Drosophila melanogaster: one gene and its partner. The protein of the gene in region 2 purifies or fractionates together with the protein of the main gene of each other region. This does not show direct contact. Each region holds a gene or a part of one and is shown on either strand. Other genes may lie near its edges.

Region 1 (4,916 bases), on a different chromosome or scaffold from region 2:
AAGAAGCATCCAATCATAAGCCTCAAAAGCGACAGCACCCAGAAACGTCCACCCCGGTTGCTCCTTCAGCGGACGCCGACTCTGGTTCGCCGCAGAGCAAGATGCGCAAGGTGACGCTGAGCAGCAGCATTCCCACCATGGCCTTCTATTCCCACAGTGGAGAAGCGGTCACAAAGTCAAGAAGGCGGCCGTCCATATCCAAGAATTCGCTTAAACAACCAACGAAAATCTCGCCAACCTCCCGTCCACTATTGGGCATTAATAAGGGAGTTCACCACAAAATACGCAAGCGTCACGGTTTTGCCAACCGACTGCCAGCCACCGATATGGACAACATTCTCAACTCGCTGAGCAACGAACGGCTCAAGAACCTGATCACCACCAAGCGTGAAGAGCGCGCCAAAGTGGAGGAAGTCCACCAGATTCTCCGTAATGCCAAGGACCCGATCAAAATGGCCAAACCATTGAGTGTGATTGAAGCCGACGATGCTAACAACAATAACAATCTGCCAGCAACCGCATGGCAAGAAACTTCCGCCGATTTCTCCGATCTTAGTGATGTCGAAGACATTGATCCCATCATCGAGGTGGAGCCTATCATACCAATAATTCGCCACGAGCCGGTCCAGAAATCCCCAACCGCCGAGCCAGCCGATCTAAGCAAACGAAAGTTCTTCAAATCGGGCCGCCGTAGTAGCACCTGCATGGAGGTGAGAATCACGGACAACATCCGGGCCAGCGTCAGCCAGGGCAAGATTGAACTCGTCCAAACGATACGCCGTAAGCCGCGGCAAGTGCGCGTCAAGTCGGCCACGATATTTTCCGCCGAGCAGGCGACTGTGGATGCGATCCTAAAGAATCTGGACGATACGGTGGTTGATGAGATTGTAGAAGCGAATCCGGTGGTACAGGCAACGCCCATTGATGCGGAGGAGACGACCATGGAAACGGAGTCGCTACCGGATATAATTGAGTATGCCCCAGAGGCGAACGATGTGGAAATTGATCCCTTTGCTGAGTTCCGTCAACGTTTGCCATACCAAACCGATGATCCCAATGTCGTGGAGCAACAGCAAATTTTACTAGAGTTTCTCATTAGCAACAATATTTGCACCGAAAAGAACTTTGAGATATTTATTGCAAATCCGGATGACTACAAGGACGAGGCCAATCAAATTGTGGACAATTTATACATGGTGGTGAACAGCGAGGAGGCTGCGCAGCTTGCTCAGATGGAAACAGTGGAAAATACAGCGGTGGCCATTGCACCAAAACAGGATGCGCCAGCAGTAGAGGAAGTTCAGCCAAAGCTTTTCCCCATATTCACTCAACGCTTACAGCCCGTTGTCCAGAAATCGTTGCGGCGTCGGCCGGATACATCGATGAGATTGCTAACGGCGGCGGGTGGATCGAATCAGTACCAGATCGATGCTGGTCAAAAGGCCTTCGGAGCACGGCAGTGCCAGCAGTGCGGATTGGTGTACACCGTGCACGAGCCGGAGGAGGAGCTGCTTCATCGCGAGTACCACAATTCCATCCATGTGCTGCGCTTCAAGGGCTGGATCGACGAGGACATTGTGTCCGTTTATCCAGAATGGGCCAGCGACGGGCGCATCATACGGATCAACGAACGCGCTCCGACAGCTCGGCTCGACAGACTGCGGGATCTCATTGGTGTGGTGGACAAAGAGCTGGGCTATTCCTCGTACATTGTGCCAAAGATCTTTGTAGCCTTCATAGCAGTGCGCAAGCAGCAGATCGTAGGCTTCTGCCTGGTGCAGCCCCTCTCGCAGGCCCATCGTTTCATCCAGGTCGATGGCACGGACTACTTCAGCGAGGAAAGCTACCCGGCCAGGTAAGACATCCCCTACTGCATGCCCCTTCCCTTGTCAACGGCTAAAATGTGCCTTCTTTCAGCTGCGGCGTCTCACGCATCTGGGTTTCTCCGCTGCAGCGACGCAGCGGGATCGCCAGCAAGCTGCTGCGAGTCGTCCAGTGCCACACGGTGCTCGGTCAAGAGATCGCTAGGGAGTGCATTGCCTTCAGTACGCCCACCGACGATGGTCGGGCTCTGGCACGCCAGTTCACCGGGTTGGATAACTTCCTCACCTACGACCAGTGATCGGGGAAATCTATTGAAGCTATTGAATAGCTGGATTGTTTTTGAGTTAGGATTGCTTCGAAACCTGTAATAGTTGATAAGCAAGTGCGATTATGTTACTAGCGGCACGAAGACGCGCAATTTAACATGTTTACAATGGTGGTTTAATATGCCTGTTTTTACGCAATGAACACGATATTTTCTTCGAGTCGCATTAATTTTGAAAATATAGATTAATATTGTTTATCTTACGTGTCGGGTTTTAAAACATGTAAATTTGGTGTTACAAAAATAGCACATACGTTAATTTTTAAATTGTATGTTTATAAACATTGTTTAATATATTTAAATTCTAACAAATAACTTAATGTCTAAATGTATGCAGTAAAAAATTTACACAACCTGCACTTGCGATCGATGAATGGTTATCGATCGCTTGCAACCATGCGGCGAGTCCACAAAGTGCCATCACTAGCACACTGAGCCTGGCTTTTGGGCGTTGTTTTCGTAGCAGCAAAGTGGCTGAAATTAATAACATTTAAGAGCAGAAGTGTGTAACACACCTGAATGGGACTTGTGCCAATCTCAGTGACCACCAATCGCGCGCAAATGGTAAGTGCAATCCGCATATAAGCTGCTAAGTGGGGAGCTGCTGGTGCTGCTAGTTAGTTTACTTTGGTGACGCCACGCCCAATGTGACAAATTGGAATCGGTGGCAATTGGTTTCGGGGTGCAAGTGGCATGCAGCGTGGTGGTTGAACCGCTTTCTCACTCTTCTTCCCCTGCCCTCCAGACCATTGAGCATTGTGCAGCAGGCTATTGAGGCTCTTGCAAGTGACCACACCCCTATAAGACTATGTCCACAATCGAAGAGGAACGCAAGGCGTACGAAAAGAATCCCTACTTCACCGGCCACATCTACGGCAACTTCTCGCCGTTTTATGTGACCATTGCCATCTGCACGGTTGTCCTGGGCACGATCATAATACTGAACATTATCTTGGGCTGCTGCTCCAAGCATCGCAAGTACTGGCAGGACAGGCACACGGGCAATCGCTGGTTGGTTTCCATTTGGTCTGCCACGCCCCACAATCAGCCGCCATTGGATTTCACTGAGCTGAAGGACGCCTCATACTTTCAGCGCTTCCATGTGAGTATTCGGTTTTTTGGCCAGAGCCCGAAAAATCGTGGCTTATTGTTTGGAAACTATTACTTTTTCTAGCCCACAACCCATCAGCAAGTGTTCCCCGACGACGTTGTCATCGGCGTTGACGACTTGGAGCCCGTGCACTCGGCGCACCATCATCATCACCAGCAGCAGCACCAGCGTCCACCACGTCCAGAGGGTCGCACTTTGCACCAGCAGCGCCAGCGCGAGGAATACGTGGAGTTGCAGAAGCGCGAGAGCGACATCTAAGTAGCAATGGCTCTTTACTTCCTTTATCCCGCCGTGGCCGCCGTCGCCCTGTTCATCGTGGGCGTTATCATTGTCATGCTGCGCTACGGACCGCGTTTGTGCGGTTTGCGCCACCATGCGCTTCCCGATGACGAGGATCTGCGGGGAAAGACGTATGAGCATGAGATTAGCTATGCCTAATATTGGGGTGTTCAGGGGTGTCCCATTAATCCCATTCAACCAATGGGTATTGTTGGTGATTTCTTGGACAGCCCTGCCTTTAATTTACATACTTATACATGCCGGCAATGCTACGAATTGCTTCTTATATATCTCTCTCCCCCCAAAACTAATCCTAGCTACTGTAAGAGCCCACTAACCCGTCTGCACCCACCAACCATATCAGTTTTGCATGCAGTACAAATAGTTTCATTAGCAACCAGTTTTGTTCGAGCCGATTCCATTCCATTAATCGCAATCTGACAATGTGCCTTTCACGTAGAGACTCGTAAGAAATTTATACCGTCCAAGTGTCTTTTCTAGCGCCGTAAGATCGAATTGTATTTTTACATTTAATACCCATTTAGGGTAGTCTGTCTACAGATGCTGCATTTAATGTTGTCCAATATTCTACTCGTATGAAAATATCAGTGTCTTGTATCTACTACAAACTCTATACATTTGTATTCGTCCATTAGTTTTGTAATATTGTATTTTGAAGTTGCATCAAATAAATCTACGGCCCCCAAAATAATATTGTGTTTTTTAATCGTAGATGCTAGTGGGTAGCTTGAAATGGCAAATAGGAATGGTTAACAATGCTTCAAACAAAAGTGTTGAATGTATTTGAGTTTTATCAATTTTACATACAATAAATTTAGATCGCAAAATACCAAGTAACAATATCTTATTCAATAATACAATATAAGGTAAATACTAGAAAATAATTCAATGCATTCAAAGTTAGGTATAAGTACAATGAAATTCCATAACTTGTAGAATCTACTTCCTTTTAGAAGGCTTTTTTGTGTGCCTTCGCACATGACGCTCTGCTTGCTTGCCGGGAGCACCCAGTTCATAGCGAAAGATAATGCAACGCCGGTCGAAGAAGGTCTTCAGGTCCTTTGGATCGTATCGATGCCCCATGTGCTTCAGGTGCAAGTAAACTGCCTGCAAATCAATGGGTTCGTACGTGAGTACACTTTCGTGCAGTTGGGGATTGGCGCAGATGAGATTGTGCCAGGCGATGTGCAGTGGCACCAGCGGCTGTGGTGTCTTCTTGGTAACGTTCGTTTGCATGACAAAGGTCTCGAAGTCATCGCAAAGACTCGGGGCAAGGGATTGGGAAAAGCGCAGCAATTCCTCGCCCGTGGCATCGTTAAATGTTAAATCCTTTTTTGTCCCAATTGCCTTCAATGT
Region 2 (3,901 bases):
GCAATACATCCGAAGAAAGTGACTGTTTGGTGCGGATTTACGGCTGCAGTTGTGATTGGTCCGTATTTTTTCGAAAACAATATGGTGTGGCGGTCACCGTCAATGGTGAGCGATATCGATCGATGATAACCAACTTCATATGGCCTGAAATCGAGAATATGGAACTGGACAACATGTGGTTTCAACAGGACTGGCCACCGAGATCGTGTGATTTGACCCCTCTTTTTCATTTGGGGTTTTCGCAGGTCCATGACAACAAGGCGCAAGACACCGATGTCCTCAAAGTCAACATACGCCACGCCATCGATCAAATACAGCCCGATTTGTGCGCGGAGTCATCGAAAATTGGACATTTCGTGCATTTGGTGGTCATTTGAATGATGTCATATTCCATTCATAATGGATTCGATTGACCTTTCAAATTTTTTTTTTCAGTTCAAAGATCAAGCGCCCCAATGAAAACCCTTTATTAGTTTATAGTTTGTCAGAAGATCTTCTGGCTCCCTTCTTACAAGCTAAACTATACTCGCATAGAAGAACTAGCTAAGTGGGTACCTTGTCTGTCTCCTGTATTGTGATCATAATTTAATAACACTGCCAATCAAAATACATACAATCTTGCAAATTTGTAAGACAGACAGTGTAGCTAGCTCCCGCGATTTAACCTAGGCACAGTGTCCTGTCTTTAACATTTTAAGTTAAGAAAATCGGAAAAAAAGGAAAAGATAAAATAAATTATTTGACAAATATTTATTACCTTCGAATTCGATACATTTTAAAAACATTTGTAGTGGATTTAGTGGAATGACTATTCTACCTTACATCGTATATATTTGTATATTTGTTAATTATTATTAAATATTGTGTAAATGGACGGATAATTCCTTCGAATTCATTTTTGATTTATATATCTGTTTGAATTCCTCCTTGTACAGCGGAATTCGATGCACTACTTTGTTGGGGTCTTCTTGGTCGGCTTGGCTCAGATGCAAAATAGGATTGATATGGCGATGGAGCGGTCGGAAGCACTGCGGAGGGTCCCTGATTCTGGTAATACTCATCTCCGTATTCACTGATCTCCCGATTGCTGATTTCGTTTAAGCGCTTGTACCTTTCCCGACGCGCTTCTACTAGATAGAGTACGCCAGACGGCAGTAGCAGCACAGCGCCAACAACGCCCAGAGCAAATGACCAGCCCATATCATTGTTCTGCCATCCTGGCATCCAATCCCGAGAATCTCCTTTGGCGCCAAAAATGACCACAGCAATAAACCCGAAAACAGAGCCCACAACCTGGCATGATCCTATCGCCAGCAGGAGCACCATGTACCTGTCATCATCGCGAGAAGTGCGAAGAAATGCTACAGTGAGTGGTATAACAACAAGGCACATTACAAAGCATAGCGTAGCAAAAAGTTGAACGGATATGTAGAAGCCAGGCAGGAGGAAGTCGTGTATGATGTAATATTCCTCTTCGAAAACCCATAGGCATCCGTTAAAGGAATTGTCAAAAAATCGGTGTATGTCCTGGAAGTTGTTGAAACAAACTTCCCAAAGGCCTAGGTTAGTGAATCGCGGGTTTTGTAATCTGCCGTCTGTAACCAGCCAATAAGGCGTGGAAAACGCGATAACAAAACATATTAGGGAAAACACGGACGCGCAAAGGGCAACTTGTAAAATGCGGTTGGACGCACCCATTTGTTATTTCTATAAAAATTTCGTTAACAAGTCGGCTTGGAAAATAACACGCCCTAAAGTGTGACCGTCGCACTCAAAATGGTATTTTTGAATGACGAATCATCTCGCTTAATATACCACTTCTATGCGGAACGGCTGGGATATAAGCAGATGTGAAACTTTAAAAAGCGCTTCTAATATAACAACATTATAACATCCCACAGTTTTTTTTATAAATCATAACTTAAAAATCCTATGAAATAAATTAAAAGTTTTCAGAGACGACCCAACGGATCATTTGATATTTGTATGGTGCTGGTAGACAGATCTGTAAAATAAGGACAACTCGCTAACATTAGAGAATTCAATCAAAATTGTGTTTTTAAAAATCGATACAGTGGCGATGGATAACAGGAATTCGCACGCAAACACTAATTAGCACTAGCCCATATATATAGTCTAGCACTGACCTTTTGAATTTTGGTGAATAAAGCCTTACGACTTATGCCTTCAATACACAATGCAATACAATTATTCAATACACTGTATAAAAAACTATTTCATACTGAATATTTGAATGGGGAGTATTTCCTGCGTGGTATATTTCTCAATCTCTCTCATCGAAGATCTGATCGCCTGGGCAAATGCATTTTTGTGACATTTTAGTGCATTAATCAAGGTCATAGTGAGTGTTGTTGTTGCCTTTCTGTCGAATAACTTTTGTTATTATTCGAGCCACATCATAAATGTTAAATATCTTTCTTTAATTGCATATTAAAAATAATACATATTACAAATGTAACAAATTTGAAAAAGTATACCATCAAATTTGGAATATATTAATAATTCTTGCAACTTTTGAACCATCATTCTATTCCAATACATTATTCAAGAGTTTTTCTGAAATAGAATTTACACACCTACTGATCGTTTCAAAAAACTGATTGCAATAGATCTGATTTCGTATCGTTGAATTTACCAGAACATCTTTAAGTAATTTATCGAAATATCTGATTAAAATTGGTACATTTTTTATTCACGTATATATTTAGGTGCTTAAGGTCAATACAAACCCCTTTTTTTAAATTGTTCTGATCATAGCAAAAGTTTTGCTTTTCTGTGTAGAAGAATTGATTTATATTCTGATTTCGTATCACCAAAAATAGAAATAACCATCCCAAAGTACACGCATTCTGCGGAATGGAACTTTTTAAAGTAGTGTATTTTAAAAGATAAAAGATAAATGGTTCAAAAGTGTGGACGTGACAGATTTGGTTGGTTTGTGGTCGTTAGAGTGGGCGTAGCAGATCAAAGGAAATTAACAAGACTGATACAAATATCAAAACATGTTTCTTGACTTGACCGGGGTAGGCTTGTGGGGCTCAGAGTGGAAAAAAATTTCGACATATGGATGGAAACTAATAAACTAATACAAAAATTCACAAATATCAAAAAAAAAAATTCGAAAGTGTGGAGGTGGCAGTTTTGACTCGTTTTTGGCCGTAACAAACCAGTCATATCAAAAAAGTGAAACGGCGAGACAAAAAGTAAATTATGTTGAACAATATTTTCCTGGTGATCTGTGGCACATTGTATATTATACAATTATTATATTATATTAATATTATATATTAATATATAATAATTATATTATACATTATTATTATACCAACTTCAATGCCATTAATTTGTTTTATATTTATCTTGGTCTTGATTTAATTTAATAAAAAGGGAAACAAATTGGTTTTACTCACACTACGGACGGGATCGCGCCGTTAAAAATTCACTTCGCCAGCACACACGGAATTAGATACAGATTTATACAAAGACTTTGAAGATAAGTTTTCCGTACATAAACCACCATTATCTGTATTAAATATTTGAAAATGTTTTTATTTTAATTACTTTTAAATTTGATTCTACATAAAGCGCTTTAAATTTGAAATAATTACGTTGAGTTTTAAGTTTTTCATACGAGAAACTAGTTGTGCTTCTTTTTCCTGTGCCGACTAATCGTATTTTAGGTTAACCCGAGACACACTTTCGGATGGCTCAGAATTAACAGCCTCCTTGAGAGGAGGAATTGTCATGCAGTTCCTAATAAAATTACACACACACTGGACGTACTGCTTGGGATATTTGGTGTAAATCTTAACGTGCTCGGCATCCTCAAAGCATACTGACGATACCTGAATACCCTGATCGCGTCTAAGACGAATAAATT

Evidence for each region.
Region 1: the proteins of kune (region 2) and wrm1 purify together in Drosophila melanogaster (affinity purification with western blotting, with the first as the bait; one study listed by BioGRID). This does not show direct contact.

The regions. Positions count from the first base shown.
Region 1 is NT_037436.4:7,332,877-7,337,792, reverse strand, and holds wrm1 (wurmchen 1), read left to right. Parts: upstream 1-2,566; 5' UTR 2,567-2,713; intron 2,714-2,894; 5' UTR 2,895-2,957; coding exon 2,958-3,251; intron 3,252-3,323; coding exon 3,324-3,518; 3' UTR 3,519-3,524; coding exon of another isoform or gene 3,525-3,698; 3' UTR 3,699-4,249; downstream 4,250-4,916. Other genes in the region: eco (establishment of cohesion), read left to right, coding at 1-1,855, 1,918-2,122; wrm2 (wurmchen 2), read left to right, coding at 3,525-3,698; mus312 (mutagen-sensitive 312), read right to left, coding at 4,500-4,916.
Region 2 is NT_033778.4:5,669,632-5,673,532, reverse strand, and holds kune (kune-kune), read right to left. Parts: upstream 1,793-3,901; 5' UTR 1,699-1,792; coding exon 904-1,698; 3' UTR 733-903; downstream 1-732. Other genes in the region: CG8245 (uncharacterized protein), read right to left, coding at 3,687-3,901.